2 linked regions of the Arabidopsis thaliana genome follow. The protein of the gene in region 2 interacts with the protein of the main gene of each other region in a pairwise test. Each region holds a gene or a part of one and is shown on either strand. Other genes may lie near its edges.

Region 1 (4,721 bases), on a different chromosome or scaffold from region 2:
AATAACAAAATTATACTTTACTAAGATTGATGAATAAGTTTGATAGCAGATGTTACAGAAAAAAAGAAGGAAAAGTTTGGTTGCTATTTTCCAAAACTTAAAAGTCCCCAATTCAGAGTTAATCCTAATTCCTATATATATATATATCTTTCTCTCTTCTATAACTACATATGTGTTTAACCAAGTTATGTTCATTTCTCCTAGCTAGAACCAGGTAAAATTTGTTTTATTGAAATAATCTATACAATTAATTGGTAATGAGTAATGCCAGAATCTTACAAAAAAAATGATGGCAAAATATAACAGTTTTTAATGCTAAACAAAATAAGAAGGATCAACCGATAAAGAAAAAGAAATAACGTACTATAATCAATGCTTCTTAAGCATGTGATTAGCTTTTAGTATCCTTTTAATCCTACTATATTATTTGGGAAATACATTTTAAATGTAACCTTAATTTTTGTAATTAATTACATGACAATACCATTAGAAAAATTTAATCAAAAACAAAATCTTTTAATGACATCATTAAGGTTACCAAAATCATTTAACGACAATATTCATTTCTTAATTATAGGGCTTGTTGAATCTAAAGACGGGTCATCAAAGATTTTCTAAACTAAAGCAAAATATACCGAATATTCAAATATCTTTCTGTTACCAAATTATAAACAAATAAGTTCGTAAAACAATTTAATATTTTATATACGAAATCAATAAATCTTAATCACATAAAAATTTGTACAAAAAAAAAGTATTCAACAATTAAAAATTTATCAAATCTCTGTGTTATATAAGTTTTGATATTATATTCGAATAAAGTGTAATATACCTTTTTAATTTGTATTCTTTAACTAATTTAAGCTAACTAATATATTTGCTAATCTTATACCTATTAAAACCGACTATCGTTTCTTATCTCTATAGTATTTTTGCAAGATTTTTTTGGTGGATTTGGATAAAAGTGCATTCGGGTCATATGGTACATTCCCCTATTAAATAAATATGGTGCACTCCTATGTTATTAGCTAAAATGTTTAGAATTCAGAGTCATATCATAAATAAAATTAATATGAATAAAATAAATGGCTTTTTGGCAAGACGGATTTAGAAGGACGGGTTTTTGAATCAACATTAATAAAAAAGTAAAATATAATTAATCCACCGTTTCAATACGGGTAAAATCTTTAATTTATTATTTTTTAAGACCACTAATATTAAACATATCAAATTATCCTAATTTAGAAAATATTATATAAAACCAAAAATGTTATGTGATATGTATAATGTTACTATATATAAAATTAAACTATAAAATATAAATGTATTAGAGAATGATACAATTTGCAAAACTTTTATATATAATAAATAATTCTTAAATTTTAAAAATTACGACTTAAAAAAAAACTCACGGGACGGGTAAAGAAATTACAGAACGAGTTTTATTTTGGAATTCGGTTATATGGTGGATGTATTTGAATCAATATTTATAAAATTATAAAATATTATTAATATGCTGTTTTAATAAGGGTTAAAACTTCAGTTTTTTAACAATTGTCTTATAGATTCGTGGCATAGCGTTACTTAATAACAATTATAAACCGTAAAATATAAATATTTTATAAAAATAAAATTTGCAAGTTTTAATATATATTACCTTTAAAAAATTAATCGTCTCGCGGTATACCACGGGTTAAAATCTAATACATTTGTAAAAGCGATAAATATGAAACGATTTAGAAAAGTCATGTGGATTAGATGGATATATCATGTGAGCCCCTCTTCTTTCCCTCTCTTCAGTCTTCAAACCAAAAAACGAAAGAGACAAAAATACAAAATTGAAACTTTGAAAATATTGAAAGAAAAGTGAAAAAAAAGAGAGTTTAGTTTTTTTAATCATATGGGGTTTATATAGTTTATTACCACACTTCCTCATGTTAATCACTTCATTTATCTCTCTATTATCTCTCTCACAATCTCTCTGGTTTTTGGGCGTTTCTTCGTTGAAAGTTGTTTGCTTTTGGTGAGTTAGAATGGCTTCGAGTGCTTCAAAATTCATCAAATGTGTGACTGTTGGAGATGGTGCCGTTGGAAAAACTTGTATGCTCATCTGCTACACTAGCAACAAATTCCCTACTGTAAGTTTAAAATTTGATCAAGTAAATCACAGTTTCGCTGATTTTTCATCAAATTGTTCTTTCGGGCATCTCCAATTTCGTCACTTTTAGTTGAATATACTTCTGGGTCTGTCAAATTTCAACTCTTTCACCGAGAATTTTAGCATGGTATTTCAAAGTTAGCTCCTTTTTTAGGGATTGTGCAAAAATAATCCTTTTTTGGAGATTCTGAAAAATCTTACATTGTAAAGTTAGTGGCTTTCTTGATTCACCAGTGTTTCCTCTTACTCTATTGCGCATTTGTTGTTCTCGTGAAGTTAAAGATTTGCTTGATGGATTGTATCAGGACTACATACCAACAGTTTTTGACAACTTTAGTGTTAATGTTGTGGTTGAAGGCATCACTGTGAACTTAGGCCTTTGGGACACTGCCGGTAAGTAACATTTCTGTATCCCTCTCTTGAATATCTCAGAATAACCAAGTTCACTAATGTTATGTGGTTCTAATCTTTCTAACATCTAGCAAGTTTGCTTTTGATTTGGGATTCTTAGATAGAGAACTTTATAGGGAGTGTTGAAGATTAGTGACTGTTAAGAGTTTTATGATTATGAGTACCCTTTCATGTTTGCAGGGCAAGAAGACTATAACAGACTAAGGCCTTTAAGTTACAGAGGAGCAGATGTTTTTGTGTTGGCTTTCTCATTGATCAGCCGAGCTAGCTATGAGAATGTGTTTAAAAAGGTTTGTGGAAATTGGATTCATTGTATTTCTTACTGGGAAAACAAAGAATGAAATGTGAATTTCTGATGTTTTTGAAGCGTTTATTTTGTTCAGTGGATCCCTGAACTCCAACACTTTGCACCAGGAGTCCCCATTGTGCTTGTTGGTACCAAAATGGGTAAGATAGCTATAAGAGTGGAGCCAACATATTTCCTTGTGTAATGCTTGAGAATCACATATATGTAATGTTTCTTACAATGTTCCGTTATCTAGATCTTCGTGAAGATAGACATTACTTGTCTGATCATCCTGGACTGTCCCCGGTAACTACATCACAGGTGTGCTTTTTCAACCTGTAGAAACCGAAAAGATTGTTGTGACATTCTCTAGACTCTCTCTTCTCTAGGTTTTATATGATTTAATCATTCATGTGTTACAGGGAGAGGAACTCCGCAAGCATATCGGAGCGACTTATTACATTGAATGTAGCTCAAAAACTCAACAGGTACACTTGTTCATGTGTGTTTGGAAACTTAGGAGTCATTAGTGTTAGGTGACTCTTTACTTGCAAACTATATGCTTTTCTTTGGTTCATGGCTTTTGCAGAATGTGAAAGCCGTATTTGATGCTGCTATTAAAGTAGTAATTAAACCAGCAGTGAAACAAAAGGAGAAGAAGAAGAAGCAGAAGCCTCGCAGCGGATGTCTCTCGTAAGTTCAATAATCTTCACTCTTTTTAATATATAACTAAGAAATTATGTAATACTAGAATTTGGTTATGCAACCTTTAGCTTCTTCATACAGTTTTGTTTGTTTGTGTAATGATTATAGATTGGCTTCTCTATTGTGCAGAAACATTCTGTGTGGGAAGAATTGATGAGTCAATTCCATCTGATGATTGTTCACTTCTTTTTTTTTCTTTTCTTTTCTAATTGGCCAGTTTGTGATTCTGATAAGTCGGAATTACATAGACTCTGGCAGAGATGAGCCTCAATTAGTAGCTTCTTCGATTCTGTTTGTATATGTGACCCTGATGTTTGTTTGTTTCGATTTGGTTTGACCCTTATAGAATTGTTATAGCCATTTTGTAGCCAAAACTTGGAGTAGTTCACGACTTAACGTGGTTAACACTTGCTTCTTTCGAAAAAAGGTGAATCCTTAATCACATATTCGAATTTATTTGGTCCTATTATGAGATCCAAGACCAAACGACAAAAGCGTGACAAGTAAGAAGAAGCCTGTAAATTTCAAACAGAACCAGCACAAGAAGTAATAAATCTACAAACTGGAAAAAGAAAGATAAAAAGAAGTAACTAATCTTGTGTCTATAATACAACCCCCATCACCTAACGCACACATGTAAAGCCACAATGCGAAAGACTTTTTTTTTTATCATTTTGAACACACTCAAAAGCCACCAACATTTGTTTTATCGCTAGTTTTTTGAGCCGGTGTATAGAGATACACACATGCATGAAAAATGACCTAAAAGTGTGTTTTCACCTTTTAAAACTCTTTGTGGGGAGGTGGTGATGCGGGTCTCTCGCTGAGAACCTTGTTGATGACTCTTCTGAAAGAGAATGGCCACTCCGGTGAATTTAGGACTGTTTTTGGAAGATCTACATGATGGTGAAACCAAGAGGTCAGGTTTGTGTTCTTAAAAAGGTTGAGACCACTGTGAAGTCGCAAATTGACTCACCCATGCCTCATTTGTACAGAGCAGGCCAGCCAATGAAGCCTTGTGGCATCACATTCACTCTCATCTCTTAGTAACTAGCAGAGTAAAAATGTAACTGAAACATTAGTAAGAGAGAGAAAAACAAAAAGAGAGGTCATAAAACACTAAGGTTTGTGGATTTCGAGGGCTTACAAGCTCATGTGGCC
Region 2 (5,336 bases):
CACAAGTGTTTCAATGTTTCAGTTTGGTTATAGGTAGGAGGTAGTATTAGTATGATGTTATAGATAAAATCTGGATGGGGAACACGGCGGTGAGTCAATAGCAGCAGAAACAGGAGACTAAGGATTGAGAAGTGGGAGTGTATAGAGAGTTAGAGAGATATTGGAGAGACAAAGAGTGTCCTACAAAACAAATATGGTAAGTGGGTCTTTAACTTGTCCGATCGTAACAACTAAAGCTCTCTATCCTAACTACTAAAGTCATCTCTTTTCTTTCTTCTCTGTTTTCTAATCTGTTTTGTGGGGCAAAGACAGCAAAAACTCACATATCACAAAACTTGATCATTTCTTGTGCTATGGTCTTGTTTTGAAAAGACCAGTCTCAAACATGTGTTTCTTTCTCCATTAGAGAGCTTAAACGTGAAATTTGACCAAGAGTTAAATTCTTTTGACCTAATTAAATCACTAGAAATTCAGATCTATCAGTGTTTTTCGCCATCAGATCACCACAACTAAAGGTCAATTGTTTTAAGGTTTCGTTAGACAGCTAATGATGAGCATGACCTTGCAACTAACACTCTTGTAACTTGATATTATTAATATTACTTTTAATCGAGTAGATCATGGAAGTTCTTGACAAATGACAATTAACGAAATTTGATTACCAATCTAGAGCCTCCACGTTAAGAAAAGATTCCAATTTCACATATACGTTTGTACGGACGAAACCAAGAAGGTAAAGGAAAGATATTTTTGGTTGAACCAAAATCAATTAAAATACCTTAAAAAGGTTTGTTACTTTGGTGGTTAACCAAATGTAGAAAGTGTGAAACAATTTTTTTTTTTCTCGAAATGAAAGCATATTGGATGAGAGTCAAATACCCAAAGCATCTGATAACCTAACTTATCAAACAAACAGAGAAGCTGATTCTGCTAAAATAGCAAAAAGTTAGATGTGCACTTACCTTTGATGCTTCTAGAGTTTACCAGGTTTAACTTCGTTGCAAAATGTCGTATAAGTTATGGCTCTTATTCTAATACATGGTACAATTGTCGCGGTTTCTCACTTTTATTCTCTGGAGAATGTTTGATCATTGCTTTCCTCTACAAAGCCATTTTCTTGTTTGGTATATATACTACCTTAATCAAGCATTCCTATCACCAGAGCGCTTTATTTGAAGCGCGGCTCTAACCACGTTTCCTCTTGTGATGATACCAACCTTTTTTCAAAAGGAAATATAAAAATAGATAAGCGATGCGAAACATGGTGTATTTAAAAGTTCAATGCGAGATGTGTAAATGTAAAATCTCTCTTCTCTTACCAATTTGCCATCAGAATCTACCACAGGGAGCCGGCGATATTTTGTCTCAAGCAATATTCTAGTGGAAAATAGAATAATAAGCTTTAAGTTAGAGAAGAATTTAGATAGAGATGAGAAAAGAAATGACGGCACTGAAAAAAAGGAAAGACAGTAACTTAGCAGCATCTTCCAGGTTGGTTTTTTCCTCAACAACTAGTGGAGCTGGTGTCATTAAATCTCCAACAAGCTTCCCATTGGTTTTGCTGAGTAGCTTTTGCACAGCATTGAAAGTCTGCAAATGTTTTTATTGGTCAACATGATATGATACAAGAACAACAAAAGTTACCAAAAAAGAGAACTATAGAACCAATTCATTTTGAGATGGTTTACACTATCAGATTTGAATCCACTTTACAGAATCATGTCTACTCAAACTAGGGAACTGAATGTAACATTAACATAACTCTACCATATGCATATTTCATATGAGGTACTTCTTTAGTGCATACACTCATAACAATCAGAAGATCCTATAACAGGTTCACAACAATTAGCTGAATTATTGTGCATGGTAATTGCGTAAATCAAAACAAGTTCCTTGTAACTTTCAATACACACTATCTACTGCTGATAATGTGAACCAGGCGAATGAGCACAATGGGAAAGAATTTGAATTGAGTGTTTTGAAAAGCATTCAGGTCAAAATGTTAATAGGAAAAGGAAGGGCCACATACTTTCCAGGTGCTGTCAACCTCAGGGAACATGGAATTTTCTGTTCTTCCACTACCTATTAGCAACACAAAAAAACCAGCAATAAGATTCAAGGGGTAAGGGAAAAAGCTTTTTGATCATTTCACGGTGAGCGTGCTATCTCGCAAAGAATGAGACAGAAGGTCATCATAACATAGATATTTCTGGCTTTATGCCACCATGTGATCAAGTAGCTTTCTTCTTTCTCCACTTCAAAGAGAAATCCCCATGTTTATAAAATCTCTTGAAAGCAAAGGAAACCAAATACATTAATTAAGTGGTGTAGCTGGCCCACTTACCAGATATGGAGTCCAAAGCCAACAAGTCATAATCTGAAACAAGCCCAACCTGCAGCAACAAAGAATCCCTCATAAGCATCCAACCTCCATCTGTAGATTAGATTCAGCTCCCTTTCAAAACTTAAGACCTGAATAACAAAAGTTGATACTAACCAATTTCCAGTCTTCGTCAATTACAGGAAATCCAGTGATTCTATTCTCCACAAGGAGTTCCAGAGCTGTAGAGAAGGCACAAAAGAGGCCATAAGTATGAAAACAAGGCAGTATCTTATGCTCCAAAGAATCTGATGAACTTTAAAGGATAACAAAGAGCTACCTTCATCCACAGTAGTCGTAGGTTTCACCACGTGCAAGTCCTCTTTCTTTGTCATGAACTCACCAACAGTGTACACTCCACTTCTTGGCTACAGTAATAGTCATATACAAAACTCAAACTAATCCTCTACTTGTACAATATTGATTAACCTTCCAACCAGTGGCTGCCTAAATTCTCAAAATCTCGATTCAAAATTGGTCACTATCTCATTACTTAAGCGAGTAAGCGACTTTGCTTCCTCAAATTTCCACTAGGCTAAGATCGAATCCCGTATCTAAAATGTGCAATCTCGAAGAATCCGGTCTAAGCTAGTAACTAGTATACCATTCAATCGTTACATAGAATCGTTACAAGAAGCTAATCTACGAAAATTCTCAGAATCTAAGACACCCAATGATCAGATATTCGCATGCATAACAAAATTCCCAAAACGGAAAGAGGAATTTGGAACTGGAAATTGAGTGAAGGAGCTTACCGAAGAGGAATTCGTCATCAACGTGGAACCGGCGGCGGAAGAAGCTGAGGGAATCCGGGATTTGGAAGGGAAGCTTCGAGAGAAGGTGAATTTGTGACATGGCTGAACGGAGAGAAACCTCGGCAGAAGAAGATACGGCGAGGAAGGAGAGGATGATGCGCGTAGGGGAGTGAAGGAGAGTGGAACAGAGTAAAGGACGGCGTCCATTGGCCGTCGGAGAGAGATCGCCGGAAGTAAAAGAGTGATGATACAGGAGATATGCGTCACCGCTTGTTCGTATTGGGAAAAGCGAAAGTGTGACTGTGACTTTAATGGCTAAACCTCAAAACGATGTAGTTTTGGAATTACAATACAATTTATGCGTTAAAAAAAAATCGAACACGTGGCCTTTTAACGAAATCTGCAAATTGAGATTAGAAAAATAAGACCGTTGTAAACGCTCCTTAATTGTGCGATTCAATTTCCTTTTTTGTTAAGGTCCAAATATGAAAAAAGGAAAACAACCTGATGTTTCCTTTTTTTCTTTGCGTGAGCCTTTCCTTATAAATATTCATCTGTCTTGTGTTGGGAAATCATAATTTTTCTTTAAGAGACAAAAAAACAAAATTCTTCTTTTCTCTGCTACTGTTTTACAAAGACGATCGTCGATTTCGAAACCGTGAAATTGATGATCCATATACGTCGCCGATCTTTACCAACGCCATGTCGAGAGAGGTCTCTCTAATATTTCACAATCTCTGATCAATCATGGAGGATTAATCCGACAAGGTTACTGGTTAGAGATCATATCCATACCAACGCCACTTGGAGTGGTCTCTCGTGTTTGATCAATCGATGTTGATTTCTAGCCAACCATGGATGCATCTTATGCGGACCTGTCTTTTCTTTCTGAAAAGCGCAAAGAAACTCTCATCAACAACCGACGAGTAGGTTTGGAGTTTCAATGACTCAGAATCAGACCGTTAAGGACTCGCCCTAGGAGAGAAGATGAAGATGACTCAGATCTCTCATCTACAATTTGCAATCTTGGCCCAATATGATATGGGCTTCGCAAAACAGCGTATGGGCTTTTTAGCAAACAACAATCCCTGATGACAAACGTCTCCCTATTTCACGAGGTATGTTCCTTTCTTAATTTCTTTTTTTTAAAAATATTTTTTTTGGTTTCTTTATTAATTAACGTTATAGATAACAATTGATTTTACTAAAAATAATAATTTTGTTTTAAATTTTCAGTTTCAAAATAAATAAAAGCTGTTTGGTAATTAATATTGTAAAATAAAAAATATTTTCAAATTTAAATGTTAAATTTAAATACGTGAAAATGGTTAGACTTAGCATCCCGTCCTTTTGGTCCGTAAGTATTGTGGTGTCATAAGTTCATCATATTTTCACGTATTTAAATTTAATTTTAAACTTTTTCAAAGTTTTAAGTAAATCGCTATTATATTTTTTATCTAAAAGTTTTTTATCATACAAAATACTTTTATTAACGATATGTTTTCAAACTTAAATGTAAATACATAAAAATTACATAGACTTAGCATTTTGTCCTTTTGATTCGTGCATTCAATATTCAAGAACCTTTCATTGTACTCAAAGGGTTCTCTTATAATGCCTTTGATGATAGTTTGTTGTTTTTTAATTGCTATGTTGCTTTTTGGGGTATGGTAAATGGTAAAATTTTGATGATATTTTGTTACCATTTACCAAAGTTTTTATTTTATTCATTTTTACCTATCCGTTATGATATCACATATGGAAAGAAAAATGTATTGTAAGAGGACAATTTAGGCCCTGAATGGAGGTTGATTTTCGATTCAGTTTTTGGATTTAGATTTTAGATTTTAGTTTTAGATTTTTGTAATTATATTTTTGTTTAAAAAATTTCAAAAAAATGATTTTTGGTTTTGAAAAAAATAACGTTGATTGAGTATAAACTAGATTTTCAAAATTTTAAGAGAACAAAAAAAACTAAAATGAGGAATGAAAAATTACAACAAAATAGTTTTTCTAAACTATAGAGAAACCAAAATTTTAAAATCTTGATTGGTATGAAAATAAGTTTTTGAAAAACAAAACCCAAAAACTCTTACAAAATGTACAAAACATTCAAGGTCTTAATCTATTATAATACCATCGTTGGGTGTCTCAGTGTCTATCATTCCGACTAAACTTCATTCCATCTTTTACTTTGG

Evidence for each region.
Region 1: the proteins of LEJ2 (region 2) and ROP10 interact in a two-hybrid assay, tested with the Arabidopsis thaliana proteins (one large-scale study listed by BioGRID).

What each region holds. Positions count from the first base shown.
Region 1 is NC_003074.8:17,729,528-17,734,248, forward strand, and holds ROP10 (RHO-related protein from plants 10), read left to right. Parts: upstream 1-1,809; 5' UTR 1,810-2,033; coding exon 2,034-2,138; intron 2,139-2,463; coding exon 2,464-2,551; intron 2,552-2,749; coding exon 2,750-2,859; intron 2,860-2,952; coding exon 2,953-3,016; intron 3,017-3,111; coding exon 3,112-3,176; intron 3,177-3,277; coding exon 3,278-3,343; coding exon of another isoform or gene 3,344-3,385; exon of another isoform or gene 3,386-3,444; coding exon 3,445-3,548; intron 3,549-3,689; coding exon 3,690-3,714; 3' UTR 3,715-3,986; downstream 3,987-4,721. UniProt on the Arabidopsis thaliana protein: Acts as a negative regulator of abscisic acid (ABA) responses.
Region 2 is NC_003075.7:17,389,874-17,395,209, forward strand, and holds LEJ2 (Cystathionine beta-synthase (CBS) family protein), read right to left. Parts: upstream 3,607-5,336; 5' UTR 3,346-3,606; coding exon 3,139-3,345; intron 2,752-3,138; coding exon 2,664-2,751; intron 2,566-2,663; coding exon 2,501-2,565; intron 2,397-2,500; coding exon 2,348-2,396; intron 2,086-2,347; coding exon 2,033-2,085; intron 1,591-2,032; coding exon 1,475-1,590; intron 1,378-1,474; coding exon 1,320-1,377; intron 1,218-1,319; coding exon 1,143-1,217; 3' UTR 753-1,142; downstream 1-752.